2 linked regions of the Struthio camelus genome follow. The protein of the gene in region 1 interacts with the protein of each later gene in a biochemical or structural test. Links are inferred from orthologs where the notes say so. Each region holds a gene or a part of one and is shown in the gene's direction. Other genes may lie near its edges.

The links.
Region 2: the proteins of LCAT (region 1) and APOA1 form a complex in vitro, tested with the Homo sapiens proteins (6 studies listed by BioGRID and IntAct, with this or other methods). The link is inferred for Struthio camelus from reciprocal best matches to the Homo sapiens genes LCAT and APOA1.

The regions. Positions count from the first base shown.
Region 1 is NC_090951.1:24,507,335-24,522,304, reverse strand, and holds the start of LCAT (phosphatidylcholine-sterol acyltransferase), read left to right. Parts: upstream 1-7,519; 5' UTR 7,520-7,641; coding exon 7,642-7,789; intron 7,790-11,887; coding exon 11,888-12,044; intron 12,045-13,344; coding exon 13,345-13,460; intron 13,461-13,865; coding exon 13,866-13,961; intron 13,962-14,291; coding exon 14,292-14,516; intron 14,517-14,970. UniProt on the Homo sapiens protein: Central enzyme in the extracellular metabolism of plasma lipoproteins.
Region 2 is NC_090963.1:1,390,812-1,405,863, reverse strand, and holds APOA1 (apolipoprotein A-I), read left to right. Parts: upstream 1-8,257; 5' UTR 8,258-8,905; intron 8,906-9,178; 5' UTR 9,179-9,191; coding exon 9,192-9,234; intron 9,235-9,503; coding exon 9,504-9,657; intron 9,658-9,758; coding exon 9,759-10,356; 3' UTR 10,357-10,574; downstream 10,575-15,052. Other genes in the region: serine/threonine-protein kinase SIK3, read left to right, coding at 3,497-3,660, 3,944-4,076, 4,723-4,880; APOC3 (apolipoprotein C-III), read right to left, coding at 11,264-11,360, 11,440-11,566, 11,703-11,760; APOA4 (apolipoprotein A-IV), read left to right, coding at 12,776-12,945, 13,111-13,184, 13,299-13,425, 13,522-14,449. UniProt on the Homo sapiens protein: Participates in the reverse transport of cholesterol from tissues to the liver for excretion by promoting cholesterol efflux from tissues and by acting as a cofactor for the lecithin cholesterol acyltransferase (LCAT).

The DNA.
Region 1 (14,970 bases):
CAGAATCACAGAATCACAGAATCACAGAATCACAGAATGGTTTAGGTTGGAAGGGACCTCTAGAGATCACCTAGTCCAACACCCCTGCTCAAGTAGGGTCACCTAGAGCACATTGCCCAGGATCATGTCCAGGCGGGTTTGGAATATCTCCAGCAAAGGAGACTCCACTACCTCTCTGGGCAACCTCTTCCAGTGCTCTGTCACCCTCACAGGAAAGAAGTTTTTTCTCAGGTTCAGACGGAACTTCCTGTGTTGCAGTTTATGCCCGTTGCCTCTTGTCCTGTTGCTGGGCACCACGGAGAAGAGACTGGCCTCATCCTCTCGACACCCCCCCTTCAGCTACTGGTACACGTTGATGAGATCACCTCTCAGTCTTCTCTTCTGCAGGCTCAACAGGCCCAGCTCTCGCAGCCTTTCTTCACAGGAGAGATGCTCCAGTCCCCTCATCATCTTTGTAGCCCTCTGCTGGACTCTCTCCAGTAGCGCCATGCCTCTCTTGTCCTGGGGAGCCCAGAAGTGGACACAGTACTCCAGGTGAGGCCTCCCCAGGGCTGAGGACAGGGGCAGGATCACCTCCCTCCACCTGCTGGCAACATTCTGCCTAATGCACCCCAGGAGACCATTGGCCTTCTTGGCCACAAGGGCACATTTCTGCCTCAGGCTTCACTTGTTGTCCACCAGCACTCCCAGGTCCTTCTCGGCAGAGCTGCTTTCCAGTAGGTCAACCCCCAGCCTGTACTGCTGCATGGGATTATTCCTGCCTAGGTGCAGGACCTTGCACTTGCCTTTGTTGAACTTCATGAGGTTCCTCTCCACCCAGCTCTCCAGCCTGTCCAGGTCCCTCTGGATGGCAGCACAGTCTTCTGGTGTGTCAGCCACTCCCCCCAGTTTAGTATCATCAGCAAACTTGCTGACAGTGCACTCTGTGCCTTCAATCCAGGCCATTGATGGATACATTGAACAAGACTGGACCCAGGACTGACCCCTGGGGGACACCACTAGCTACAGGCCTCCAACTAAACTCTGCACCACTGACCACAACCCTCTGAGCTCTGCCATCCAGCCAGTTCTAAATCCACCTCACCGTCCACTCATCTAGCCCACACTTCCTGAGTTTACCTACGAGGATGTGATGGGAGACAGTGTCAAAAGCCTTGCTGGAAACTCGAACAGAAATTGCCCCAGCACTATCCCACCATCTGGTCTGGCTGGCAAGGTGCCACAGGCAAACAGTTTCCCTGGTCCAGAGAAGGAAGCACTGCCAGCACACCCCTGCAATGCTCAGTGCTGGCACTGGCACAGGCACTGGCACAGGCAGCTCCCTAATGGCTCCTATTCCTCCCTGCCAGAAATTGCTCTCCCCAGGGAACACAGCACTTTGTCCCCAGAGTTCCCTGGCAGCATGAGGGGCCTGCGCTGCCCTGTCCCCAGGCCTCACCAGCATGGTTATCTCGTGTGCTGCAGGCGATGCCTGTCACTGCTTCACAGGGAGCCTCCAGGTGTCTCACCAGCCATGTTTGGGGATTTCCTATGCATGACCTGCAAAGCCAGGCAGGGTAGATCATTACAGAGCATCACCTGTGCAGCAAGAAGCATCCCCGCCAGCACTGCAGGGGTGGGACAAGCCCAGCAGATGGAATAGACATCATGGACACATGGATCCTGCCCAGAAGGATAGGCATTCTGCACCCCAAGAAGGGTTCTGGCTGTGTCATGGGGTTCCAGCATGGCCACCTCCTGCTCAGCTCTCCTGGTGCAGAGGGGAGAAGGGAAGGACTGGCAGGAAATCTCTTCTTCTTGCAGGCACTCAGGCGCTAGAGTACATAGAACAGGGATCACTCCCAGCCAAGTTGGGGTACTCAGCACAACAGGACCCCATTGCTGCTGTGCCTTCCCTGCCTCATGCTGGGAAGAGGCCAAGCCCCATACCAGGCAGGACTTCAGCGCCCTGCTGCTCACCGTAAGGGACTGCAACATGCAGGATCTAGCCTTCAGCAAAAGGCAATGAAGCTCCCTCTGAACAACGTGCGGCTCCCAGGGTGACAGGAGATGCTGCTGCAGGGAAAGCTAGCGGCCCTGACACTGTCGTCAGCCCCATCGCCCCACTGCTGCCCCACAGCAGCCCCTTTGCCTTCCCATGGAGCCAGGCAGTCACTCACTGTGCCCCTTTCACCATTCCAGTCATAGCACCCAGGTTATTTGTGCTTTCAATGCCAGACGTTTGAGTGACCTGCAAGCATCTTGCTTTTTGCGCTGTTCCTTTGGAGGCAATTCAGGGTTTTTTATTTTTTTAAATGAATTCCCTCATTTTTCCAAAGCCCCTAGTCTTGCGTTATCACCCCACAGGGCATTTTGAGCGTCTTGGCTCACCTGGCCCAGCTCCACAGCAAAGCAGATGGTCCTGCTTCTGGGGGACCGTCCTCGTTCCAGCCTCCCCAGCATTGCCACCAACTGCTGCCCCGGCTGCCCTAATCATCCCCATCCAAGCCCTGGTCCTCATCCTGGTCCCTCTCCCGGTTCCACTCCAACCGGCACTTGGCAGGACAGCCCTCATCCTATACTCACCCGGGAGAGTGCAGACTCTCCACCCACAACAGCTCTAGAGCAAGCCTCTTTCCCCAGCTGGTTTTTATGCTGTTACACTGCATCAGCTCTATCTTCTCCCATACAACAGCCCTGCCTGTAGTACAACCTGCCAGGAGACAAAGCAGGGAGCCCCACTCTGGAGCTGTGCTTTGACTGGCATCTTTGGCTCAAATCCTGCTGGCTGGAGAGCCTCAAGCCTGACTCTCCTCCAACCCAGCCCCCAAGCTGCCTGGGGGCCGGCACCATGCCCAGAAGGGGAAACTGAGGCAGGGAGTTGATGGGGGAACAAAAAAGGAGAAAGAAGGGTAAACAACAGCCTTTTCACCTACCTCATAGGGAATATGTGTCTGGGGCCCATCACCACAGGATGCCCTGGCCAGAAGGTCAAGATGAGGTCTGCAGGAAACCCAGCGAGCTAGCATCAGTGATGGGGTGCCAGCAGGGGCTCCCACTGCCCAAATTAGACCAGGGCTCACCAAGGTGGAGGTGACTTGTGCCAGCAAGGAGCCAGCCAGCTTCCTCTAACGGGGAGCAGGACTCTGTCCAAGGCCCAGGGCTGCCTGTGGCGATCACACATGCCTCCTACAAGATGCAGTGGGGCTGCCATGACCACAGCTGCCACTGCTGGCATCTGCCAGCCAAGGTTGTCCTCATGGAAGGAGCGGTGCAGTGCTGGAGATCACAAAATGGGCCCATGTCCCCAAGGACCTTGCCAGGGTCTGACCCCAGATCCTATGCCAGGGATCTGGGGACACCTTCCCTGTCACCTCCGGCACTGGGAGCTGGGTCTTCTGGCCACGAGGCTCTTACCCAACCAGATGCATAGGGGCTTCACCGTCCATCCACTGGGATGCTACTGGCCGTCCAGCTTGGCCTTCAGCTGGCTGACACACAGCAGCTAGAGTTCCACAGGATGGTCCCCAAGAAGGTGAGAAAAGGGGTGAGGATGTCCTGCAGAGGGAACAGGGCACAGCTGAGCTCTTGATGCTGAGCCAGGGACACAAAGGACCAGAAGGCTGCTGTGGCAAGAGCAGCTGAGGGACCACTTAGATCCTGCCTGCTGCCACCCTCCTGGGCCCAGCAGGACCAAGGAGGACCAAACCCCATCCCCCTGGTCACAGGTGCCCTGTCCCAGCACCGGCCCCTGGTCTGCCTCCCCTCCTGCTGCCCCAGGGACACTCAGCACCTTGTACAGGCCAGAAGGGAATGCTGCAGACCCAGCCTCAGTGATACCTCCCCACAGCTGGTGCCACGCAACCCCCATGGACCCTGATGCCTGCTCCCACAGAAGAGCTGGGTAGCCCTCCTGCTGCCCCGAGTGGTGCATGGGGACCAAGCTGCAGCCCCAGCGCCATGTTGCCAGGGTAAGAATTGCCCCTGTGGCAATAGAAATGGGGCTGTGCCAAACCCAGGGGCCACAGGAGACCCGGCACGAGCAGACAGGGGCTCCCAGCAGCGTCCCTGCCTCAAAACTGGGCAGAGCCCCATCCCCAGCATCGCCCAGCTACCACTGCCTGGAGGAACAGCTCTGCAGGGGGAGGCCAACAGCCCGGTGGCAGGGTGTGCCCAAGCTTTCCACCACCTCCTGCCCCACTGTTCCCTCTCTGGAGACAGGGGTCCCCCCGGCTGGGCTGAGAGGTGTCAGCCAGGCAGGACATGGAAAGCATCTTGCCAGGGTAGGGGCATGCAGAAGAGCTGCTCTTCCCCTCAGCTATAGGATCAGACCCCTAGGGGAAGGTCAGGCCAGGCATGGGTCTAGCCTATCTTGCTGACTTCCTGCTAACACTTCCACTGTGCAGGATGTGCTACCAATAAAAGCAAACAGCTCCATTTCCTGCATCCCACTTCAGTGCCTGTTCTGCAGCCCTTGCTTAGGCAAACAGCCTAGCACACAGTCCTTGCTCCATACTGCTCTCAGGACCAAAACAGGGAGCACATCTCCTCTGCCCACCCTGTGTTGCAGGCAGCATGACCAGGCTCGGGCACACCAGGGCACATCTGTCTCCAAAGACAGTAGGCATCAGCCAGCAATTTGCATTTGGTAAAAGCGCTGCCTTATAAGGCCATGGTTCTACTGGGAAAATGAAATTTGAGGGGTGCCAGCTTCTCCTAGCAAACCACCGGCCTGCTAATAATTGCAGGGAAACCAAAGTAATACAAATAACCCAACTTCTGCTACTAAGAACCAGAGAAAGAAAAAGATGAAAAGCTGAGAGGGAGACTTGAGGAAGCCTTTTTCTACTTGCCTGGCCCAGACACAAACAGGGGCTGCACTGGGTTCAGAGCAGGCAGAAAACCTGCCCTGGCCAGGGGAGGCAGTCCCAGCACTGCCAGCTCTTGAAGGGCAGCTCCCAGCACTGCCCTTGACAGAAGGGGCAGAAGGGATCATATTTAGGAAGTTTGGTTTGTTTTTTCTTACCAGTTTCTCCAGTTTCCAGTGCTGGGTCTGCAATAAAAGCAAGATCTGGCCAGCTGCTCCAGCCATCGCTGAGCATCCTTCCCAGGCCGAGCTGGGAGGGATGAGGCCATGCGGAGCAGGATGGAGGGCTCCTGGGGGTCATGGCAGAGAGCGCTGGAGCCAGGGGAGATGCCTGGAGCTGCCTGCTACTGGCATGCTCCTGTCATGTCAGATGGTTAGTGCTGTACAGCCTGAAAGAGAGGGGGTGATGGCTCAGGTGGGACAGGACTGATTCTTCCTTTTCTTTCTCCTTCTGGCACTGGCCTGTGCCATACCTTGGGCCACAGCAGGACTTCAGCCAACCCCAGCATGACAGCAGCATCCCCAGGACACAGCCAGGGGCACTCCTCAAGGCCTGACCTGCTGGGGGCTCAGCCCTGCCCAGGCCCTACACAGCAGAGAGGCTTTGCTCTGCTGTCTGAAGGGCTAGGATGGGAACTCACTGCACTGCCCTGCCCTGCCCGGGTGCCAGGCTCAGTTCACAATGCCTTGGGGAATCTGCCCAATAAAGAGACTTCTCCTGACAACGCCTCTGCTTCTAGGCGCACGCATGACCATCATCAGTACTGAAAACATCCCCCTTTTCCCAGTCATCCCAGGACCCTGATGACACAGAGGCCCTTGCTTGGCCACCAGCTCCTGCAGGACCTAGTCCCAGCTCTCATACACTCAGGGGGTGGGGGAAGGAGGAAGGGGGGCGGTTGGAGCAGGGGGCTGGGCACAGCAGCAGGCCCACGTGCCCTACTCCAGACCCCTAAAGCTTTTCTTTCCCACATGCATGCACACATGGGTCAAACAACTCCTTTCTGAGGCTCCTTCTCAGCAACTCTTTCCTCTCACCAGCCACCACCTCCTCGGCCCAGGCAAGTGCCTGTGGAAGGCCTCAGGGGTCCCCGGGGAGCTGCCAGCAACCGGTGCCCCCTTAGCACCTCTCTGTGTCACTAGAGCCCCGGGGGGGCAGGGAGCTAGAGGACCCAAGGGAAATCCAGGCAGGGACTAGCTCCTCCGGGTGAGGGGGGCCATTTCCTGCAATCGCTGCAAACCAGCTACGCCTCAGCATCAGCAGGCCAGCACGGTGCTGCCAAGCACCTCACCACCAGCCCCAGGTTCGGCCCCAGCCTTCCTCTCCGGCCCCTCTCCTCGGGGAAAGGCCATCTCACACTGCCTCCTGCGCTCCGGGCCCTTCCCTTGCTGCTCCCGCCGCGCGGCGGCCCTACACCCCCACCAGCTCCTGACGGTGCTACCGACCCGCGGCCCGGCCTTGTCGGGCCTACGCAGAGCGAGACAGGAAACCGCAGGGCCCCGGAACCCGCTCCGCGGGAAGGGGCGGAGCGGGGCAGGGCCGGATATGCCCCGCCGGCGGGGCGGGGCCTGGGGCGCGGCGGGGAGTGTCGCGCCTGCGGAGCCCTCTTAGCTCGGGCGGGCGCGGTGGGGGATGTGGGTCTGCTCTTGCCCTGGGAGCGGCCCCGTGGCGCCGGGAGTGGGACAGGGGGTCCGGGACAGGGTCCTGGCCCCGCCCCGCCCCCCTCTTCGTGCCCCTTGGCCTGCCCCGGCCTCAGGCCGGTTCTGCGGGATCCCTGATTGGCACCGAGGGCAGCGGGGCTCCCTTGCCCCGGGACTCCATCCCGTCCCCGTCCTTTGCCCCGCAGAGCGGGAGCCACGCAGGGTGCTAGACCCTACCGGGAGGCAGCCCCACGGTGGGATGGTGGGGGGGCTGTTTGGGCAGAGCCCTGCCTGCTGACACCCCTTGCCCAGGCCCAGGCAAGGGGTCCCGAGCAGTCCCCGAGTTCATGCCGTGCTCCCCATAGGCTATTTCTTTCATCGTTCTGGCCTAGGGACTGCACAGAGGGATATCTTATGGGCCCTGCAGCCCTTGGTGTTCAACAAGTTCCTTCCAACGTGTTTTTGGCAGCAAGTCATGGCATGGCCCCTGCCTGGGAACGTGTTCAGGCTCAGCCAGTCCCAAGGTGGGGGTCTGACTGCCTGTGCCCAGGGAGGTGCATAAGTGGGCAGGATGGCAAGGGTGGCCATGGGGAAGCGGCAGTGCTTGTGAGGATGCTGGAGGAGCTGTGGGATATGCTGCTGCCATGGTGTGTGAGGGGCTGTCCTGATTTGTCCCAGCTGTGATGGGAACCTCTGAGGTTTGAGGTCTGCCTGGTCATGTCTGCAGTGCCAGTTGTCCTCCCACCGCTTACCCCCTCACTAAAGATGTGCAGAGGTGTTGTGTTCACAAATACACAGAGCGAGCACCCCGCAGCACACGGCAAAGGGACCTGCACAGTGGTCACAATCCCAGCACGCAGCTGAAGGCCACCTAAGGTACCACGAGGCTGCAAAATTTGCCTGCCTGCTCTGGCTTGCACCCACAGGCAGGGGTCCGGGGTGCAGAGAGCCCATGGGCACAGCAGGGTTGTGCTTTCAGGGGATAGCATGTCTGCAAGACCAATCCTTTGGCCCTCCCCGTCCCTCCTCCCCATCATGGCCAGCCCCTTGCAGCTCTCCCCTCCCCTGCAGCCTGGGTGCCTCTGGCCGGACCTGCGTAAAATATAAAAGGCTGTTTGCTTGGAGACGCTGAAAGGATCCCAGCCAAGTTTGCCATGGGGAGTACAGGCATTGGGGCTGCGCTGCTGACACTGTTACTGCTCCTGCAGCCCACATCCCAGTTCTGGCTCTTCAACGTGCTCTTTCCACCCACCTCCACCCCAGAAGCACCCCCGACCAACAGCACACCACCCGTGGTACTCGGTAAGATCACGCATGCTGGCCTACAACCTGCCAGCCCTGGCACCAGGCAGGGGCACAGCAGGCATCCTGGGCTCTGCTCGCTGGGGCGCTGCACAGCCCCAGAGCTGGCTAGAGGCAAGGCACATTGTTCCCGGCAGCATGGGGAACTGCTTGGCGTGTCTGTTGGCTGCAGTGGGAGGCTGCAACCCCCTTTGCAGTCTCTGGCTATCTTACTGTGCTGGTGGAGCCACCTCAGGGTGGTGACACAGAGCTCCCAATCCCGCACCTATCGGCAGTGCTGGGAATACAGGACCTGCCATGCCTGGCCACAGCTCTTCAGAGCCAGGAGGGCAGGCTGGGTACCCCAGAAAGCAAGTGGGGCTCAGAATATCAAGAGCTGGATAAAATGGTGTTTTGGGGCTCACTCCATTTGGGGGGGGCTGTGCTGGCATAGGGACAGGGCCTGCAAGAGACCCTAGTGCTGTGGCTTCCCACTGCTGCTGCTGCCATCCCAGTAAGCCTGTATCCACAACCTTGCTGCCCCCAAACCTGTCCCAATCCCCCATGTCTTTTGTTGCTCCATGATGATGGTTAATTTCATCCTCCCCTGCTGCTGAAGGGCATCCACCTCATGTTAGACCAAATGTCCACTCTTGCCTGGGGAATAGCATAAGGGTGGATGAACTAGCAGGCAGTTTCTCTGCTTAGCTGAGATGCAGAGAGAGGCAAAAGAAGAGGCCTGGGGAATCACCTCAGTGAGGTGGAGATCAGTTTTTGCCATGAAATCTGTTCTGAGCAGAGGTTTCTTCTCCTTTTTCTTGAATCGAACTAACTGAGTTTCCCTTTTAAAAAGAGAAGAGAAAAGCAGAACTGCCTGACATATGGCCTTGGACTGACACTATAAACTCACTTCTCCATGGGCAGGCCTCTGTGCTTGGGGGCAGCAGAGCAGCCTGCACAGAGCCCCACAGCCTGGCACATGGCAGGCGTGGGTCAGCCGTGGCCTGCCAGGCTCTTTTACTTAGTGGTTAAGAGGCAGCAGGATTAAAGAGCACAGCCTGGTGCACGGCATTGTATCTGGAGCCTGAGTGGTGCAATGCAGGCACTGCTTAGCCATGCCAGAGGTCAGGAGGACACAAGGAGGCCTGGTGGCTGTCACCATGCAGGGCAGGGAATGATGTGGTACAAGTAACCTTGTGCATCTTCTCAGGATGGTCTGTGGCAATAAAAGCTTCTCTACCATCCCACTGATAGGCCCTGCAAAATGGGGCAGGTTGGGTCTTCCCCCACAGCTGCTCTGACTGCCCACCAGCAGCTCCCCCAGACCCTAAACAACTCCTCTGCCTTGGCCTGGCCCCACAGGAATCTGGAGTCCAGGTCCGCACACCCCAGGGCAGGTGCCTGTAGCCCCAAGCCTTGCCTCCTCCGAAGCACCTGCATCTACTATCCCAGCAGAGGCAGTGCCCCATGGCACTGGGCTCCTGGTTCTGCCCTGTGCCCCCAGTGCCAGCCTCAGCCTTAGCCAAGGCTGGGGCACTCAGGCTGCTGGGGCTGCCCCTACAGCTGGTGCTGAGCCAACATGCCAGGAGCATGCAGTCAGCCAGGAATGCTGCGACCAAACACCCTGTGCGCCTGTCGGCATCCACATGTAGCCCATCCCCCTCAGCCGGGCGTCCCAGAAACCCCCAGTGCCCTTGGGACCAATGATAACCCCTTTGCCCCAACAGGAACTCCCTTAATAATTACCTAATGTCCTTTTTAAGGTGAGGCAGAGCTCAGGGCTGTGCACACCGGGAGCGTGGGGGCCTGGTGCCCACAGGGCCTGGTGCCCACAGACTGGGAGCCAGCTGCAGCCGCAGTCCAGCAAGGTAACAGGATGTCTGCCCCATGCCACAGGTGCTCCTGACAGTCCCTGGCACCTCTGGGAGCTGTTAGCCCTCTGCTGTGGCCCTGTGGGGCTCAGGGTGATTGCCTGCCGCAGGAGCTGCCCTGGACTCTTCTCTTGCTCTCAGAGCAGGTCTGGCAGCCACTCACTGTCCGCTCCCCTGCCTGTGCCTGGTGTCTCATATGCAAAGGTCCACTCGGGCACTGGGGAGGATATCCTGACCCCCACTAGGTGCTTTGGGGAAAGATGTCCTGACCCCCACCAGGTGATCTGAAGGCAGGATTAGGCCCTTCCTGTATCCCTGAGGAGCTACAACAGGTGCTAGGGAGCTATGAAGCAGGTTGAGCAAGGCAACCACCATATCCCATTCCCCGCTCACATGGGACAAGGCTTTCAGAGGCTGTGACTATGTTCTGCATCTTTTAGTTGGGGCCACAATAGGTGAGGTGGGGCTGGAACATTGGTCAGGGTGCCTTTGCACCCTTCTGCATGGGCACGTCTAGCTCCCCCGAACACCCACTCCCATAGGCCCCAGGGCACGGGGACACCTGGGCCTAGCAGGAGCTGGGGGAAATGTCCTGCTGGCATCTGACAGATGGGACACATCGTTCTTGGGTCAAAGACAGCCTCACCTGTGGCTGAATCCCTCAGCCCTAATGCCAGGGAGCATGGCTTACATCCAGCTGTACTTGTAGGGTCTTGCAGCCACAGCAGAGCCCTTCTCCAGGCTGCAGGCCAGCTCAGGGCAGGCATCTTACAAAGACATTTGGCCACAGTCCTGTTGTCGCTGCCACAGAGCGGTTTGCTGTGTCCTTGGGAGAAGTGATGTGAAGGACCACATCTTCCAGGGCCTGTGGAGGAGCTGGGCCAAGCCCAGGTGTCCCAGCCATGCCACCAGGCTCTTCCCAGCCCCATGCTCTCCCAGTGCTGCCGAGCGTAGAATGCCACGAGGCTCTGTTGCTGATACACTCAGTCAGCAGTGGGGAATCACCCTATCTGGTCACATGGTGAGCAACATAGAGGACAGTGCTTGCGGCAGCTTTAAGACATATGTCATTCCTCAGCAGATGTGTCTAGGGCCAGCCCTCACAGCAGGGTGGACCCACTGCAGCTGTAGGGTGCAGTCAGCACCCAGTGCTCCCATCCTCTCAGGCTTGCAGCCATGATGCCCTGCAGTCTTTTCACTTGTGCTCGCCCAACCCTTTGGGCCAGCACTGACATCCGGAGACAGCTCTCAACTCTTGCACACTGGCTGGGAACAACCTCCCAGCACGGGCTGTGGCAGAGCAGAGACATATTTCAGTGCAGCACAGCTTCCCAGCCCCCATCCCTGCCAAAAAAACAAACTGGACCTCCTGAAGGTGGACAGGGCGTCCTGGTGCTACATCTGTTGAGGGAGCCTGGGTCACATGTGGCAGGCCGTGAACCTGTTTAAAACAGCTTTGTGTTTACTGTAAGTGATATTTGCACTGAATTCCCACAGGGTACGGTCCTGCTCAGAGCTGAATCATTTCAGGGACCTTGTTCAGCCTGTGTGGAGGGTTTAAAGTTCAGGAAAACAGTGTGTGGGCCTTGGGCATCAGCACGGGGACAGCTTTCACCTTGGACGCCTCTTTGGGGCCTCTCCGTGCAGCCCCAAGCTGGCCTGCTACCGCAGTGCAAAATGCCTGGGGTGACAGCTGGTGCGATGCAACCACTTTCAGGGCAGGTGGTAGGGCTGGGTCCAAGCAGCACTGACTCTTTCCCTCAGGCTGGAGAGAAGAGAGGAGCATGGAAACCCATCCAGGCAGGGGGAAATACTCCAGGATGTTATGTGCTGGCAGGGAGTTACACCTTTGGGCTGATGTTGAGCCATTCGGTGAGGGTGCTTGTTCTCACGGTCATCCCCTGGTGGCCCAGTCTGCAGCATGTGCAGCAGGAGCCACAGGAAAAAGCAGTGAAGCGGGTCCCTGAGAGCCTGTTTTTAGCATGCTGCCGCTGCTTCCATGCTCACTCTGCATCCCAGCTCTGAGCAGCCCTCACACAAATTATGCATTGAAAGGACAAGGGGCTGTACAGGCTGTTCTCCATGGATGCTTCTCCAACTGCATCAAACAGCAGGTTCCTCAAGGGAGCCCTGGCTAGCGGGACTGTGGGAAGTGCTGGGTGCCCTGACCACTGCCTGGCCGAAGCAGCCCCACAGAGCCACCGAGATGAGGTCTAACTGCCTCTGTCTCTCCCTGTGGTGCCTCTAGTGCCTGGGTGCCTTGGGAACCAGCTGGAAGCAAAGCTGGACAAGCCAGATGTGGTGAACTGGATGTGCTACCGCAAAACTGAGGACTATTTCACCATCTGGCTCAACCTCAACACGTTCCTGCCAGTGGGAGTAGACTGCTGGATCGATAACACCAGGTACCACTCACCTCCCACCCAGGGAGCTCCCCAGGGAAATGACCTACCAAGGATCTCCCTCCCCTCTCCTCCCCACCTGGACCCGACCCAGCACACACAGGAAACCACAGGAGCATCTGCCTGGCTGAACACCCTGTGTGTGTTAACATACCTCTTTGGCTCCAGCTCTCATGGACAAACATATTCCAATTGCCCCCTTCCCGTTTCCCTGCCATGTGCTTGTTCCATCCAGACTATCCTCAGCACGTACTAGAGACACTGCCATCCTGCCTAGGGCAGCAGGGTGAGAGAGATGTCCTGTCCTGACCCCCGGGGTGGCTGGCGCTCATAGATCACAATTCATGTGCTCAGGCAGAGATATCAGCCTGGGATGAGACAAAGAGGCTCTAGAAGTACCTAGTCATTGAGAGAGGATCTGAATGATGGAAATGTAATACAGTAGAAGCTGTTCAGAGCTGGTCAGAGGAAACTCATGCATCTCCTCAGGGCAGGCAGGATTTTCCTTGTGCCATGATGCTGACCCAAGGAGGAGAAGAGCCCCCAGCTCTGGGATAGGCAGCTCCCCCAGGAGCCCTTCCTATGGCACCCCTTCCCACCAGCTGCACAAACAAATTTGCTGTGTGTCTGTCTGCACTACCCTTGCCAAGCATTGCAGAGGTGACCAGAGGTGTCCAGAGTATAGCGCACCCCCAGACACCCTCCTCATGGTGTGGGCAGGCCCTGGCAAGCAGCACAGCCCCCAGATCTGTCAAGGGGAAGCATTTGTGACATCCAGCAAAAAAAGCGCTGTTCAGGTACCTGGGATCCTTCCTGGGAACTGCTGCAGGGGCAGTGAGATGTGCTGGCAGGCCAAGCCTGTACCTTGGAGCCGTCCTTGCTGGGGGATGTCCTGGCGAGGACATCATCTACCTGAGCTACCTGCTCTCTGCCCTGGGAAGCCGTGGCCAACACTGCAGAGCACAGATTACATTCGGTCCTCAGCCATCTTGCCTCGTGCATTGTGGGTCCATCTGAGTCCCCACACACCAACACCACTGTAGTATGGGCTCATCTCAGCCTAGATCTGCTGAGCTGCACCCTGAGTGGTACAGCTTCAATCTCTTATAAGGATCCCCGAACAGGGAGCCCAAAGTAACAACATGGGGACATTGGCTCAATTGGCACCTGCAATCCATGTCCATGTCCTCCTATTTCCACACAAAACTGAAAATAGCCACCCAGATCCCAGCTGCCACCCAGTGATCTCTGCCCGTCCCCTGTGGAGTTGTCCTTGCTGCTACTTTATGTCCTTTCCCTGCAGGGTGGTGTATAATCGAACCTCTCGAAAAATGTCCAATGCCCCTGGGGTACACATCCGTGTGCCTGGCTTTGGCAAGACCTATTCTGTGGAATACCTGGATCAGAGCAAACTGGCAGGTGAGAGAGCCAGCTCTGTGGAGAGGCACAGGGTGCCCTGGGCTACAATGCATTCCATGCTCTTAGTCCTGAAGTGGAGCGGGGGTCCCTGTGCCCATAGGGTTCATCGTGGCCAGGTTCTGCAGAGCTGGCCAGAGCCCAGTCCACCTGGGAATGAGGAAGATTGGCCCCAGGAACATACTCCCTTCCTGCCCCAAGTCCTCCCACCGCCTGCAGGCATCCACCCCAACCTTAATCGCTGGGCACAGCCCCTCCAGGGCACATGGAGTTGCTATTTCCAGATGGAATGATCAAGCTATGAGGTTTACCAGAGGCAATTCTGGTAAATCTGTGACCAGGATCAGGGTGGGAAAAGGTAACAGGGGAAGACCACAGACCTAATTCCCATTTGTTCTCTGTCTTTAGGTTACCTGCACACGCTGGTGCAGAACTTGGTGAACAATGGCTACGTGAGGGACCAGACAGTTCGGGCAGCCCCCTATGACTGGAGAGTCGGGCCCCGTAAGTGTAGGGTTGGGGCCAAGTCACACATGCATGAGGGAAGTAGGAGGGCCCCCCTGCGAGCATGTCTAGATCTGGGTTCAGTGAGCAAGCCAATATGTTCATGAAGAGTAGTGAGGTGGTACAACATGGAAGAGAGTCCCTGGACAAGAATAGCTACCTGTTGTCTAGAGCATTAAGCCATTAGTAATGCTTTCATGTGAATATGCATGGTGGCACTTCTGGCATCTGTGCCTACGTTTCTCTCTAGTTGGGGCTCCTAGGGTCAGTCCTGTTGCCCTATGGCTATGAGCGAACTGGCCAAGAGCTGGTCCACCCTCTTGCCCACAGATGAGCAACCCGAATACTTCCAGAACCTGAAAGCGCTGATAGAGGAGATGCACGATGCATACCAGCGACGTGTCTTCATCATTGCACACAGCATGGGCAACCTGCACGTCCTCTACTTCCTGATGCAGCAGACGCAAGCCTGGAAGGATCAGTATATTGGGGGTTTCATCTCCCTGGGTGCCCCCTGGGGAGGGTCTGTCAAGCCCTTGCGTGTCCTGGCATCTGGTGAGTGATTTCCTATGTACAATGACCTCTGTGTTTTCTTTCTCTCCTGCAGAAATGGAAGGGTGGTTGGACCAAGGTCAGCGGAGCAGAGGCAGGACACTGTGGTGGAAGAGCTAGGGGACAGTACGTCTATGGATGGAGCATTCATGCTCTGGTGCTAGCATGGGCTTTAAAGTCGAGCATGCATCCATTTGCACCCTGGAAAGCCTGCTGTGTTTCCATGATTGTGTTGAATGGGTTTCTATGTCTCTGGCCAAGCTGATACATAAATGGTGGCTGTAGAAAATGGCTGTTAAAAGGGGCCAGCTGTAGGTTGGCCTCCCCTCTTCCTCTGCACCAGCTCTTGCCGCACACAGTTCCTGTGGCACCGTAGCCTGCAGCACACCCTGGACCATAATCAGAGGTAGACAGCCCAGGAATGTCTTCTGGGATAGGGGTGCGCCTTGAAATCAGA
Region 2 (15,052 bases), on another chromosome or scaffold:
CACTCGTGAACAGCGTGAAGGAGTCCAGGCATTGCTAAAGCTTCAGTAAACATGTGCTGTAAGAGCAGTGATAAGTGCCTTCACAGCTAAGTCTGTCTTGCACTAGCTCCTCTGGCGCTTCAGAAAGCAGCGCCAGCAAGATTTTAGCCCTGCTTGAGCTATAAGGGGTTGGTTCTGAAGAAAGTGAAGTTTGCTAAACTTGTCACTAGCATCTGAAGACCTTTTCTCCCAGCTGTAAACAGTTGCGTCCTTGCTCCTTGGTGGCTGCTTTGGCAGTTATGTGCCGTAAGCGTAATCCCTCCCAGAGCTGTAATTACAGGCCTTCTCTGTATGAAAAACAAAATCCTACCTCCTCCTTAAGGTGGCTCTGAAGAGAGGCTTTCCAGGCTGAGGTGGGTAGACTGGTATGCGCTGCAGGCCTGAGCTGTGCTGGGTCTGAAGCCACCAGCTTTCCCTTGGCACAGAGACCCCGAGGGTAGAGGTGCTGTGCCTGGGCACAGGAGGCACTGCTTTGTCTGGGGGCGCACCGCAGGCTTGCTGGGAAAGGGACCGTGCTGGAAGAGACCCGCTCGGAGGGCAGAGCGGGCAGCCAAGGCTTCGGCCCCGCCCGGGATAAGGACAAGGCATGGCCTTTCAGAAGTGCTTTTAAGTTTTGGGTTATTGATGTGTTTTCTCTGTCAGACTTCAATTTCCCTGCTGTGCTTGAGGCACAGAAGGGAAGAATTACACCAGGTTAAGCAGAGTTTGCAAGCTCTGGAGCTCCTTTTTCTACTGAGCCTTAAGTTTATAGCCTAATATTGTAGGCATAGTTAGATGAGCTGTGTGTGAAATGCCAAGATTTAACGAAGTCGAGCCAAATTTCTGCCTCAGTACTGATGGTGCTAGAACCAGTTACACAAGGGAGGAGGACTTTAGACTACAGGACTTTGTAAATGAGTAAAAGCAAGTAAATGTTTACAAATAGTATTGTGTAAGCCCTTCTGACAGGGGCTGTTTGGAGGGCTCATGCAGTAAGCTATGTTCAGAGATCTAAGTGCCCAGACTGCTTTCCTCCTGCTTTTAATAACCCACTTGGAATCTGGCCTGTGCTACTTCAGTTCCAAATGGACTAGACATCTAAGCAGCCTAGTGCACTTATCTACAATTAAATCCTATAAAACCTCAATGTCAATACCACTAACGCGTGTTTGTTTCATTCAGTTGCTTATAGGGCAACCCAAATGTTATCAAGTGCCGTGCACCGGGCACTACAGAATGACAGGAGGCGATTTAAACCCAAACAAGCATGACACTGTTTCCTGGATGCCGCCTGCTGACTTGCCCTCCTCCCCGCACTGAAAGGCTGGCTTCCTCAGCCGTGTCTCTGAGCTATCCAGTTGTTTTCACTGTACCATTGTAAGAGGCTGCAACTTTTCTTGAAAGGACGGGTATCTCCTCTCCCTCCCCAGCTTATGTAAGGTGTGTTTTCTCCTAGGAAGTGGGTTGTAGCTTTGCAGCGCCTCAGGAGTATGTGTACCCTCTAAGGGACTTCAGTACTGCTTAATACTGAAATAATTTTAGCAGAGACCAATCAGGGACACTTGACTGAAAAGCCCTGGCTTGTCTGTGGAGCGTCCGCCCCAGTCAGTAACTGGAGATTGCGAGAGCGTCAACCAAATCGGTGTTTAGGATGTGACTAAGCTGCATCTGAAAGACTCTGCTACAGACTTGTTCCATTCTAGCTGTCACAAAGCACTGGGAATACTGCCCGTGGGAAAACTGCTTTCCTTGGCGCTCAGGGAACTGCCTGTGGTGGCACTGCGTGCACTGCCAGTGTCGCATGCTGCACCCATACACAAAGACCAGCTAGCGCAGGAGCCAGATCTCTCATGAATATGTGGATAAAAGGTATTCTTGCTGTGGGTTTGGTCTACTGGGATGTGACCGGAGTGAGGAAGGGAATGAGAATTCAGGCCTCCCTTCCTCTGCTGCCTGAGCTGGATCCTGAGAGAGGCGACCGACTGTTCTGGGAATCGGGAGTGCTTGATTTTTCCTCTGGGTCAGGGCCCTATTTGTCTGCAGTTGCAGCTCAAAGGGAGCCCTCTTGAAGGGGGGAGCCCCCCCCCCACACACACACTCCCTTGTCATCTTGGGAATGGGGGCTGCTAACGAGGGCTTGCTGCTGGGCCTCCTCATCTTAGCCCATCTTGCTCTGACAGCAGTTTTGCCCTGAAGTTGTTTGTTAAGCTGCAGGAGTGAGCTGCTGGCATCTGCCCACTCAAACCACCATTACCACAGTTGGAACAGCCGCCCGAGCAGTGCGTGGGTGGCACTTCTCTTCCCCGCTCTTTCCAACATTTTCTTTTCCAGTGCGCTTCGTGTTTTGTTTCTTACTTTTCCGGGAAGGCTGAACTGTTAACCAAACTTAACCTTGCGGTTGTGCAAAGGAAGAGAAAGGCCAGCTGTATTTCTGATTTCTCCCTGAAGTGGTTCTTGCAATACTGCAATATCTGTGACATAGGGTGGTGCCTTCCTACAGGGAAGGGCATTTAACTGATGTGCTGAAGATGTTCGCTTGCTGGCAAATAACGCTCAGATGATAGATTTGCCTCGGAAAGTTTTGTTTAGATTTTGGTACTTTTACAGACACATCTCCTTGGAGAGTGTATTTCTTGCACTTCCCAGTCTGCAGTCCCTGCCAAGAAGCGTGCTGCACCTGGCACAACTGGGGGACTGCTTCCTGCTGACCAGGTCCCCAAAAAACCTGACTAGATCTGGACTTGGGGATCTGCCTGCAGCCGTGTCATTTCTGGGTGACTCCTTAGTGCTTCTGGCCACGTCCACATGTTTGTGCTCTGAAGAATTGCTCACTGCAAGAGAGCTGTTTACAGGCATCCGAACGGATGATAGGATTCTCCAGAGCTCAGTACTTGATTCAAAACGTTGTGTACTTGATGACACTAGGTTCTGCTTGATAGGAATGTAGCCTTTACCCTCGGACATAAGAGCTTGCAGTGCAGGTGGACTTTGCCAGGCAGAGCACTCATGTACTCCTACAGCCAGATTGCGGGAGGGCAGGGAGAAGTCATCTGATAAAAGCTAATAGCTGGCACTCCTCCAGTAAGACTGTGTCGCTAGTAGTTGCCAAGTGACCCTGCTGGAACACCTCTGGTGGGAGGTTTGGGAGACACCTCTCCCTCCCCTCTTGTGTAGTGTGGGCGATGCAGGGGGGAGGAGGATGCAGGGTAAGCTTGGGCTCCGGGGGAAGAAGGCAGTGCAGGAGGGCGGTTGGGAAGGGACTGGTTTGCGTGCTGTGGTGCTCTTGCACATCACTTGAACAAGAACAGCCAGTTGATTACCTTTTCACTGGCCAGCAGCACGCTGCTCTTTCATTGATGAGCGCGTGTTCATGCCATCAGATCTCTGAGACCCCGCGGTCTTGTAATGGGGTATGTCACTGAGAGCTGCGGGTTCCTTGTACTAACCTGTCTCTCTTCTCTCTCGTCTGATTTTCAAGAGTCCGTCGTAGGGAGCTGTATGGACAGGAGTTCCCCTGGACAAGCGATGCAGGTGCCTGACCACAATGGATTGGGCTACCCTGCGCGACCAGCGTCCAGCGAGCATCCGCGGCCCAGGACCCTGCAGAGACATCACACCATACAGAACAGTGATGATGCCTACGTAGGTTTGAAGAGCCCTGTGCCTGGCGGGTCTTAAGACAGTGCAGAGCCTCCCTGAAGTGTATGGGTTACACGTGAGGTGTCCAATGTAGAACAGACAGCTTCCTGCTCTGTGCGGCTGCTGGGAATAAAATGCTGTGGGGGACACTTCACTTAGCATGCCCAGTTTGCTTAATATTGAAGCAGACTCCCCAGGCAGCCTGTCAGAAGAATCGGGGGGGGGGGGGAGCAGCAGGGTGTGTCTTTCCGAGCCCCTTTTGACTTGCGTCCCCTTGTCTCCGCAGGTGCAGTTAGATAACTTGCCTGGAATGAGTTTAATGGCAGGAAAAGCACTAAGCTCTGCTCGGATGTCTGATGCTGTCCTCAGCCAGTCGTCACTCATGGCCAGCCAGCAGCTGCGTGACAGGGAGAGCGAGGGTAAGGACTCGCGCCAGGCTGTGGAGGCATCTCCTGGAGGGCACAGGACGCTGGGGGTGTGGGTCAGGAATTGGAAAGAGTCCGCGTCGTTCTGTCGGACAGCTGGCAGTCTGGGCTGCAAAGCCACCTCCGCTTCATTCGAATGAGCGGAGCCTGCAGGGTGCAAGGTGGGGGCACAGGCTGCAGGGGAACCCGTGCTGCTTGAAGGGTGGCTGAGAACGGGGTAATAGATGTGCTTCGGCAGAGCTGTGGCAACTGAAGGGTTGGCCACCGCTCGCGGGCAGGAGCTCGCCGATATGATCGTGTCCGTCTCTTAATACTCTTTAGATAAACTGAATTAAAGAGAACTTCAGTTTCTCACTGTACTTGAGGCCTCGATGGATGCTTCAGCCATCCCTCTTCCCCTCCCACCCCTGCAACACCAACGTTCTTTGAACGTGAGCCTGTAACGGCTTGCAGAGCTTCCCTCGCTGCTGCTGTCTGCCAGAGCCCGGACGTGTGGCAACAGTGATCTAGACTTCCTGGAGGAACGTGGGCAACCTCTCCAGCTGGCCTGATCCACAGAAAGCAGAATCTGCAGATCAGCAGAAACTGTAACTCCATAGCGCGCTCTGTACGAACTTGACCTCGTGTTTTGATCTTACAGAATGCGGGGAAAGTTTGGAAGGTCAAGAGCATCCCAGCTTGGGCGATGGTAACCAGCATCTAAACACCTCTTGTTACCCATCGACATGTATTACAGACGTCCTACTGAGCTACAAGCACCCGGAGGTGCCCTTCGGGATGGAGCAGGCAGGAGTGTAACAAGGAGGAAGTGAGTATTCAAGCCGCCTCCTTCTCCCCTCTGCCTGCCTGCCCGCTCCAGGGTTGCCTTGGTGGCAGACCCGCAGGCCCGTTGGCCTGGCTTCCCTGTGTGCCTCCTTCCCTGTGTCAGCTTTTGCTCTAGTCTTGGCGCAAGTCTGAGGAAGAGACTGTCAGCTGCGAGCCTCTGCCCTCGTGGCTGTCTGCTGTTGCCTGCGGTCACCCAGGGACAGTGCCCCTTCCTCTATTTTTGTGCTGTTGTTCTGTTCTGGGGCAGAGCTTGTGGGCCGGACTGGGACAACTGGTAAAGGGCTGGGGAAGCAGAATTGCCTTCCTGTGGTGTCCTTTAACACATCCCTGCTTCTTCTCTCTCTTTTGCAGGTTTTATGTACAGCTTTGAAATGAAAAGGTCCATTTTAAACCAACAGTATCTAGCAGCATTGCGCCAAATTGCCGTAGTATTTCTGACTAACTGGAATACCATGGCCCCTTTCCTCATAATCAGTTCATCCAGTGTGTTGTTCCTTTGGTTTCTTTAATTTTTGCCATATTTGCCTGTAACTCCAGCTATCACAGAAATAGCAAGAGAACCCGAGTCCTACACGTTGGCAGGGGATTCACAGAGCCCGCGCGCTGTGTCTGGTTTCGAGGGCTTTTACTGTCCGTGGCCAGGCAGGCCCGAGGGGGGCGTGGGGCCGCTCTCGCCCTCCGCCCGTCTCTGCTCGAGGGCCCGGCAGCAAGCCGGAGCGGCTGGGCCTGCCCTCCGGAGCCTGCCTTGGCGGGGAAGGGACGAGGCAGGTGGCAGCGCAGCAGAGCTGGGGCAGCCGGTCTCCGTCTCGGCGCAGAGCTGGCTCCAGGCGGCTGGAGGCTGTGGTGTCCTTCCACCTTTTAACCCTTTGCACTGGGGAAGGGCCCGGAGCGACCTGAGCGTGGGAGCAACGCGAGGAACGGACGTGCCAGCCTGCGCGGCCCTCCTGGGGCCCCCAGCAGCCCCCGGCGCGCCCCGCCGCCGGGCTCCGGCAGGTGGGGGGCGCCTGGCCCTGGTGCAATACGCTTTTCGTCTCCTCTTTGTCTGCTTTCGTTCTTTATTTCATTTTGTCACTGTGTAAAAGGATCACTTCTCCCCCCTCCCCTTGTTTACCTTTTCTTTTCAAATCCATGTACAACCCTTTTTTTTTTCTCCCCCCCCCCCCCCCCAGCTTAATGTAGGGAAGACAGATTTTCTTTGTTTTCTTAGCTCTTCCTCCTGATCACGTAGGAATTGTTTTTTGGTAAATGTTGTTTTATTATTATTGTTATTAATAAAAGGCAAAAGGAATTTCTGTTTGAGAGAAATTTTTAACTAGATTCTGTTCTATATGAATTGTGACTTGCACCTTTTGTTCAAAGTATTTTATTTCTTTTAATGACATTGTAATTGTGACTGGTTTTCTCTCTCGTGCCAGTGGCGGAAGTGGTATTCTCCTTTATACAGTTCAAATGTGCATAGGTCTCCTCTTTGTTCTTCTTTTAATTCTTTCCTTGAGTGATAGAAAGCAAAGCGCCCTGCAGCAGTCGGGGCTCGGGGAGTACGTGGTGTCATCGTTGCCTTTGGAACTTTACGCGCTACGACAGAAATCCTTCTTATTGACACTTTTTTGGAATTTTTTTTTTTTAAAGAAAAATCGATCCAGCCCTCCTGAATTTGCACAGAAGGAAGTGTGAAACCAGCATGGCAAAGGTTAATTTGCTACCGTTACCAATGCCTCTTCCCTGTCCTCCCTCCTCCTCCTCCTCCTCCTCCCCCTGCCCCCAAAGAAAATAGTGCTCCATGGATCTGCAGTCTCGAAAACCGGAAAGGAGAAAATTCTGCAGCTGACAAACAGCATCTCCCGGGTCAGCGTTTCTGCTGAAATGCTAGTGTCGCGCGAGTGTTGGTGGTGTATAGCTATCGAGTTACGTTCTTAACCTTGTGAACTAGGTGGCATGTGTGTGGGGTCGGGGGGGATGCGGGGAACCAGGCAGGGCTTGCCGGACTTCAGCGGGAAGATACCAAGAAACCTTTTGCTCTGTACCTTTGATTTGTTTTTCTTTTGTTTACATGACACTGTATTTCTGGGAGAGTTGACAGCCACCCTACAATAAGCATCCAAAAAAAGCAGGGACTCGCTTAACCGTGCCATTTCGCAGTATCACACTTTTTTTTTTTTATCATTGCTTTGTATTGTAGTAATCAATACGCGCAGTATATGTTGAATGTATATTAATATACTTTGCTATTATTTCTGTTTTTTGGAAATGTCAGAAGTATTTTTTCTTCCTCATTTATGTTGGACTAAAAGTTTCAGTAAAATCTTCAGTCCATTTTTTTGTGGGTCACTTGCAACTAGTCAATTAGTTGGACAGTGGGATCATGACAAATAAAACCATGATTACGACCTTCTGTGGCCTCGTGTTTGCGTGGTTGCTCAATGCTGGCTCCGCAGGGGGGACGGTGGGGTGAAGGCTGCGGGCGCTCTTCGTGCCCAGCCTGCTCCGGGGACCCCAGCTGCTGGGGGCGGCAGGGGCCCGCGCGCTGCCACCTCTGCAGCCCGGCGAGGTGGCGTGCGCCTGATGGTGCCTGGGAGCGAGATGTTTTTCTGAAATCGCTGGCTGACGGTCCCTGCCCCCCCGCAGCACCGTGACCTCCAGCGGGGGCAGGTGGAGCGGAGCTGCGCCGCGGCTGACTCATCATGCGGCTGAGTCGTGTGCAGCCGCGGCGGCTTCCTCCCGCGCCGACCGCAGCGGAGCGGCTGCCGCTGCCGCCGCCGCTCCAGGCCCCCAGCGCAGGGGCGAGGGTTGGCCGCCAGCAGCCAAGCTGGGCACCTCCAGCCCACGCCGCAGCGCCCAGCCCTGCTGCCTGGGCTGCGCGGCCCCTCCCCAGCTGGGGTCCGCTCCCTCACCCTCTACGTAGGGCCTCGTTGCCACGCTGGGATCCTTGCTGCTTTCTCCATCCCTCTATTCCCTGGCTCCCCAGTTCCTCGCCTCGAAGCGCGCCGCCTCCGTGCTGGAGCAGCCCTGGCAGCTGCCTGGCCGGGGCAAGCACCCAGCAGAGCCGCCTGCCCGCCCTGCCTTATGCCCCGGCAGGCTGCGGCTGGGCTGCTGCCCCCCTCCACGTCCCTCTTGGGGCAGGGAAGGGCAGCGCTGGGGATTGCACCCGCTTTGCCACGTACGTCCTGCTGAAGCCGGGCTTTCGCAGGAGCCGCGCCGCTCGGGGGCAGACAGCCTGAGGCCCTTCGGCTGGAGGGCAGGAGCTGAGATGGGCGCGGGCCGGGGTGGAGAGCTGCGGAGAAGGGGAAAGCAGCTCTCTCGCGATGAGGGAAGGGAGCTGTGCTTCCCGAGCATCCCCGCGAGGCTGCGGCACCGCAAGGGACGGGTGCCGGGGGATGCCCTGGGCGGCCGCGCTCTCCAGGGCGAGCCTTTGCCTGGCCCTGGGGAGGGCTGGAGCGAGCACGCAGGCAACCCTGGCTCCGGGCTGCATCGGGAAACGGGGGGCTCTCGGGGCGACGTGGCCAGCGTGGGCCTCGCCGGCTCGGGGGAGGATGGGGCAGCAGCCTGCGATGGTGGAGAGAGGAAGACGAGGGGTTGGGGAGCAGCAGGCCAAATCCCTGCAGGTATAGACCTTGTGCCCGGGCTCCTGGCCAAAACCCGGGGGCTGCCGAGAGGCCCTGGTGGGGCCGAAGCAGCGTGCAGGAATCTGGGTCACCCGGCGCGTAAACAGGCTGCTTGGCGTGCGAGCCGCGTGCCGCGGGGAGTTCCTGTTTGCTCGGCCGCCCCTGCCAAGTCGGCGCTCCCGGGCCGCGCTGGCCCGCGCCGGGGCTGTGCGCACGATCCTTGAACTCTGCGCGCCACCTCGCCCGCGCCGCGGAGCGATTTCTCACTCGGCGGCGCTGCCTTATCTCCGGCGAGAGCTGCCCCCTCCTGCATAAATAGCGGCCGTGGGGAAGCGGCGGGCTCACACGGGACGGCCGGAGCGGAGCAGCAGCAGCAGCAGCAGCAGCAGCCAGCTGGTAAGCGCCTGCGCTCCCCCGGCCGCCGGCGCGCCGGCCCGGGCTGCCTCCTTCGGCGGGGGCCGCCCCGGTCTGCCGCCCGGCGTCCCGCCGTGGGGCGTCCGCCTCGGGGCAGGGTGTGCCCGGCCGGTGCCTGGCTGCCCCGGCCGCCCCGGCGAGGCCGGGGGGCTCAGCCGGCGCTGCGGCCGTCGGGGCCGGCTGCTGAGCGCCGTTCCCGCCGGGACGGGCCTTTCCCGGTGCTGCCTGCACCCAACCGTCTCGCTCTGCCCCCAGGTTGAGCCCGAAGATGAGAGCCGTGGTGGTGGCCCTCGCCCTGGTCTTCCTGACGGGTAGGTCCGAGCGGCGCCGGGGCAGCGCCGGGCGCAGCGGGGAGGCTGCAGGCGCCCGGCCGCGGGGCAGGACGGGGCAGCCCAGCCCGCGCGCGCCGCGCTGGAGGCGGCCGACTCGCAAAGCGCTTTGCCGGCTCCACCGCAGCCGAGCGCTTCCCGCAGCGGCCGGCCCCTTGCAAGCGGGGCTTGGCCCGGCGCCGCGGCGGGGACGGAGCTGCCACGACCCCCCCGGGCGCTCTGGCCTCAGCACGGCGCGCTCTGCCCCGCAGGCACCCAGGCCCGCTACTTCTGGCAGCGCGATGAGCCCCAGACGTCCCTGGACCTCCTCAAGGACATGGTGGACGTGTACCTGGACACGATAAAGTCCAGCGGCAAGGATGCCATTGCCCAGTTCGAGGCCTCTGCTGTGGGCAAGCAGCTTGAGTAAGTGGGGTGGGTGGGTGGCGGGGCATCCACCGGGGCCACCGGGGCCGGGTGCCCGTGCGCCCGGGCCGTGCGTGACCCTGCCGCTCCGCTCTCCCTAGCCTGAAGCTGGCCGACAACCTGGACAAGCTGAGCGCGGCCGCCACCAAGCTGCACGAGGACATGGCTCCCTACTACAAGGAGGTGCGGGAGATGTGGCTGAAGGACACGGAGGCCCTGCGCAAGGAGCTGAGCAAGGACCTGGATGAGGTGAAGGAGAAGATCCGGCCCTTCCTGGAACAGTTCTCGCAGAAGTGGACGGAGGAGCTGGAGCAGTACCGCGAGCGCCTGGCGCCCGTGGCCCAGGAGCTCAAGGAGCTCACCAAGCAGAAGGTGGAGCTGATGCAGGAGAAGCTGACGCCGGTGGCTGAGGAGGCGCGGGACCGCCTGCGCGGGCACGTGGAGGAGCTGCGCAAGAACCTGGCGCCCTACAGCGAGGAGCTGCGGCAGAAGCTCAGCCAGAAGCTGGAGGAGATCCGGGAGAAGGGCATCCCCCAGGCTGCCGAGTACCAGGCCAAGGTGATAGAGCAGCTCAGCAGCTTCCGCGAGAAGATGACGCCCCTGGTGCAGGACTTCAAGGAGCAGCTCACGCCCTACGCCGAGAGCCTCAAGGCTCGCTTCATCAGCTTCCTGGACGAGCTCCAGAAGAAGATGGCCTGAGCCCCATCCCACTCCCGCTGCCCCCAGGCCCCACGGCCACCCCCAGCCCTGCCCCGGCGCATCGCACCTGGGGAGGCCGCAGGGACCGGCCAGCCCCGGGGGCTGCTCCGCGGGGCCCCCCGTCCTCCTGCTCGCCACCCTGCCCTCCCCGAGCCGGGGTCTGTCTCTGCTTTGCCTTTCTTTTGTCAAATAAACATGACTTAAGTTATTGGAGCTCACTCAGTCTTTGCAGTGGATTCTGGAAGCGGGGCGGGGGGGGCAGGCCGCCTGCGGGCACTCATGCCATGAGCGGGGTCGGGGCTCAGCTGCACCCTGAGCAGCGGTGCTGCGACAGGGGGCTAGGGAGGGGGTGCTGCGGGATTTGGGGGCTGCAGGGAGCCGGTCGGGGTGGAGGGGCTGCAGCCCCCGCTGCGGGGAGCCCGCAGGGTGGGTGCCCCGGGGGGCTCCCTGCTGCTGCGGCAGCCCGTGAGCCCGCGGGTGCCCGTCTCGGCTCTGCCCAGGGTGCAGCGGGGCTCGCCGCTCCCCCCGTGCTGGGCGGCGCAGCGGGGTGGGCGACCGCGGGGCAGCGCTGGGCTGCGTGCCGCGGGCGGCTCTCCCCGCGCTCGGGCCGCGGTGCGCCGCCACCGGCCGCCGCTCCCCGGCGCATCGCCGCCCCGGGGCCCGCGTGGGGCGTTGGAGCGCGCCGCTCGCCCGGCCCCGGCGCAAGCGGGCAAGGAGCAGCCGCCGGGCGCCGCCGTGCCCAGCCCGCAGCCGGCCCCGCCGGGCGCCCCGCGGCCCCCCGCGCCCCGCCAGTGACCCCCGCCACATCCGTCTCGCTTCAGCTCCGCTTTATTGCCGCGAACGCGACGCGGCCGGCGCGCTGCTCCGGGGGGTGCCGGGCGCCCCCGCTCCGCTCGGCGCGGAGGGGCTAGGAGGCCGGCGTCCGCTTCCACAGCTCCGTCAGCTGCTCCTTCAGCCAGGCCAGCTGCTGCCTCGCCAGGGCGGCGTTATCCGCCAGCCATTGCCTGCAAGGGGACGGACGGGCCGGTCAGGGCCGCCGGCGGCTCGGCCGGCCGGGGGGCGCGGGGCGGGCGGCGGGGGCACCTGGCCTGCTGCGCCGTCTCCGACTCCCGCACGGTGGTGAGGACGCTCCTGGCCACCTCGGTGGCCTGCTGCACGTACTCCTGCACCTTCCTCACCAGCGCCGCCGGCTCCCCGGGCGCCTCGGCCCCTGCAAGGCAAGCCCCCGTCGGAGGGGGCGGCAGGGCCCGAGCCCCGGGGCCGTGCCGTCCCCGTGCACGCGCCCCGGCGCCCCGCGCGCCCCCGGCCCCGTCCTTCTCTGCCGCAGCCCTCGCCCGGCCCCTTACTTGCTCCCGCCGCCAGCATCGCCGTGCAGAGGAGCGCGAGCAGGAGCGAGACCTTCATGGCTGGGGAGAGAGGGCGGCGGGTGGCGCGGGGCGGCAGGGCTTGCGCCGGGGCCTGGCGCCTCGGGAAGGAGGCGCCGGCAGTGCCGACCCCGTCCCCCTGCCGGGCGCCCCAGCCCGGCCGCCCCGCTCACCTGGCCGCGCTGCGCCGGGGGCTCTGCGACGCAGGGGCAGCCCCGGCCTCCCGCTTTATACCCTCCGCCACAGCCGCCTCCGAGGGTGTTTGTGCAAAGGTCAGCGGCTGCGGCCGGTGGGGAGAGGAGGGCGCGTTTACGGCCGCTTTTCCAGCCGCCCGGTTTGCTCTGGAGGGGCCTGCCTTCCCCTCGCGAGTTGAGAAATCCCCCGGCGCCCGGGGGGCCAAGGCCGCTGCCCGGGGGCTGGCTGCCACGTGTGCATGCGTGCACACGGCTGCGGGTGCGTGTGCCCGGCCGCCGTGCAGGCTGCGGGGCCCCCGCCGGGGCGGCAGGCCCCGGGGTGCCCCGGGCAGGGGCAGGCCTGGGGCTGCGGCACGCGGCCCCGGAGCTGGGGCTGTGCCCCGGGCTGCCCTGGCTCGGCCGCCGGCCCTGCCGTGGGCGAGGCGAGGTGGCCGCAGGCTCTTCGGACATCAGCGTCGCTGTCCCCTCGCTAATCTCCACCTCCGCCAGCCTTGGACTTCGACCCAGCCGGGACACGTCGCTGCTGCTTCCAGCCCGCAGCGGGTCCCCCGGGGCGCGAGCTGGCCCCAGCCGGAGGGTGCACCCCCCAGGCATGGCCTGGGAGCCCCGCGGCCCCCGGCCAGGGCACGCGCGGCTCCAGCCCCGCTCAAGGGCAGCAGCGTGTGCACGGCCCAGCTGCTCCCTTGGCTCTGCCCTGCGGCACTCGGTGGCCGCCAGCACGGGGTCCCCGCGGTGTCCCCAGAGCCGCTGCCCCGGGGAGGGTCCGAGCCTGCCCCGCGGCGGGGGACGCGGGGGCTCAGCCGGGGCAGCCTGGCGGCGCTGGCGCTGGCGCCCTGCCGGGAGCTGGCAGGGCTCTCGGCGATGACAGCGCCGTGCACACGTCAGGCGCTTCCACGTCGCGACCTTGCTAAAGTCCAAGCCGGGGAGTGTGTCACAGGCCCGCGTGGATGCCGGCGCGGGTGCTGCTGCCGTATAAATACGGGCTGGGTGCACCCCGGCACGGCAGGTACCGGAGCCCGGCAGCAGCACAGGTAGGGCTGCGCCTGCGGAGCTGGGGAGGGACCGCTGGGAGCGTCACTGGGTGCATCTCTGGGTGCATCTCCGGGTGCATCTCTGGGTGCATCACCAGGAGCCCGGGTGCTGCACCAGGGCTGCCCGCTCCCGGGTGCCTTCATCTCCGCTCTCGTCTCCCGCAGACGCCGCCGTGCCCCGCCGCTCAGGATGTCTCCGAAGGCTGCCACCCTCGTGCTGGTGCTCCTGGCGGTCGCAGGTGAGGGGCGGGTGGGTGGGGGCCCTGGAGGGCTGGGGTGCCCCAGCCCCGGTGGCGGTGCAGGCCCCGCGGGGACAGGCCAGCCCTGAGCCCCGCGTCCCCACGCCCCCCCAGGCTCGCGGGCCGACGTCAGCGCGGACCAGGTGGCCAGCGTGCTCTGGAAGTACTTCACGGAGCTGGGCACCAATGCCAAGGAGACCGTGGACCAGCTGCAGCAAGCCGAGCTCACCAAGCAGCTCAAGTAAGTGGGGGGGGGGGGGGGGGGGGAAGGTGGCCCCGCGGGGGCTGGCCGGGGTGGGTGCAAGCCGCAGGGCGCCTGACCCCCTCGTCCCCGCAGCACCCTCCTCCAGAGCAACCTGGAGAGCGTCAACTCGTACGCGGCGGACCTGCAGCGGCGCCTGGTGCCCTTCGCCACGGAGCTGCAGGCCTGGCTGGCGCAAGACTCGGCGCGGCTGAAGGAGCAGATCCGGCAGGAGCTGGCGGAGCTGCAGGCCAAGCTGTCGCCCTTCGCCGACGAGGTGCACCAGCAGATCGGCACCAACATCCGCCAGCTGCAGGCCAAGCTGAGCCCCTACGCGGAGGAGCTGCGCGCCCAGGTGGACCGCAGCGCCGGGGAGCTGCGGCGGGCGCTGGAGCCCTACGGCGCCGAGCTGCGCGAGCGGCTGGGCGAGCACGCCGGCAGCGCCCAGGCCTCGCTGCGCCCCTACGCCGACCGCCTGCAGGAGCAGATCGACAGCGGCGTGGAGAGCCTGCAGGGCCAGCTGGCGCCGCTGGCCGACGGGCTGAAGGCGCAGGTGGAGCGCAGCGTGCAGGAGCTGCGGCGGGGGCTCAGCCCCTACGCCCGGGAGGTGCAGGAGGGCCTCGAGCGGCAGCTGGCGCGCCTGTCGCTGCAGGCGGAGCGGGCGGCGGCGGAGCTGCGCGGGCGCCTGGCGGCCAGCGGCGAGGAGCTGCGCGCCCAGCTCAGCCCGCTGGTGCAGGAGCTGCGGGAGGCGCTGGCCGGCGACGGCGAGAGCCTGCACCAGCGCCTGGCCCCGCTGGCCCAGCGCCTCGACGAGCGCGTGGGGCAGACGGTGGAGGCTTTCCGGCGGCAGGCGGCGCCCTACGGCGAGGCCTTCGGGCAGCAGCTCGTGCAGCGGCTGGAGGAGCTGCGGCAGAAGCTGGACTCGGGCACGGCCGGCGCCGAAGACCACCTCGAGCTGCTGGAGAAGGAGGTGCAGGAGAAGGTGGCCTCCTTCCTCAGCGCCGCGGAGCAGGCCGAGAGCTGAGGGCCACCGAGCCGCAGCCCGCGCGGGGGCAGAAATAAACGGGAGCCTTGTGGTGCACGCCGTGTCCGTGTCTGCATCCGCGTCCGTCCCGCAGCAGCCGGCAGCGATGCTGCCCGCCCCGGGCTGGGGCACAAGGCCCTACCCCCTTCGCCTTCGCCGCCGAGCCCTGGCGCCGGGGCCGGGCGGGCTGCAGAGGCAGCCGAGGTGGGCCGGCGGCCTCCCCGCGCCCCTCGCCTCGCACGAGGCCCCGGCTGCAGCCCTGCAGCTGCAGCTCCGGCCGGAGCCCCGCTCCGCGCGGCGGGACGGCCGCGGGGACCGACCTGCTGCGCTGCCGCCCCCCGCGGGCGCCCCGGACGGAGGGCGCCCGGGTCGGCTGGGCGCTTTCTGGGGCTCCCCCGGCCCCGCAGGAGCGGGCACAGCCCTGGCGAGCCGGTCAGCGCTCCCCGGAGCAGCGCAGACCTGGGGAACGTCACAGCGGAGGAAAAGGAGAACTGCAAGGGGTGAAGACAAGGACGGCAGGCGTTAGGGTCTCCAGCAAGCTGACGCCAAGTTGCTCTGTTATCCGGGGCCCGGAGAGGGATGGAGCGCACGGGATGCAGTGGT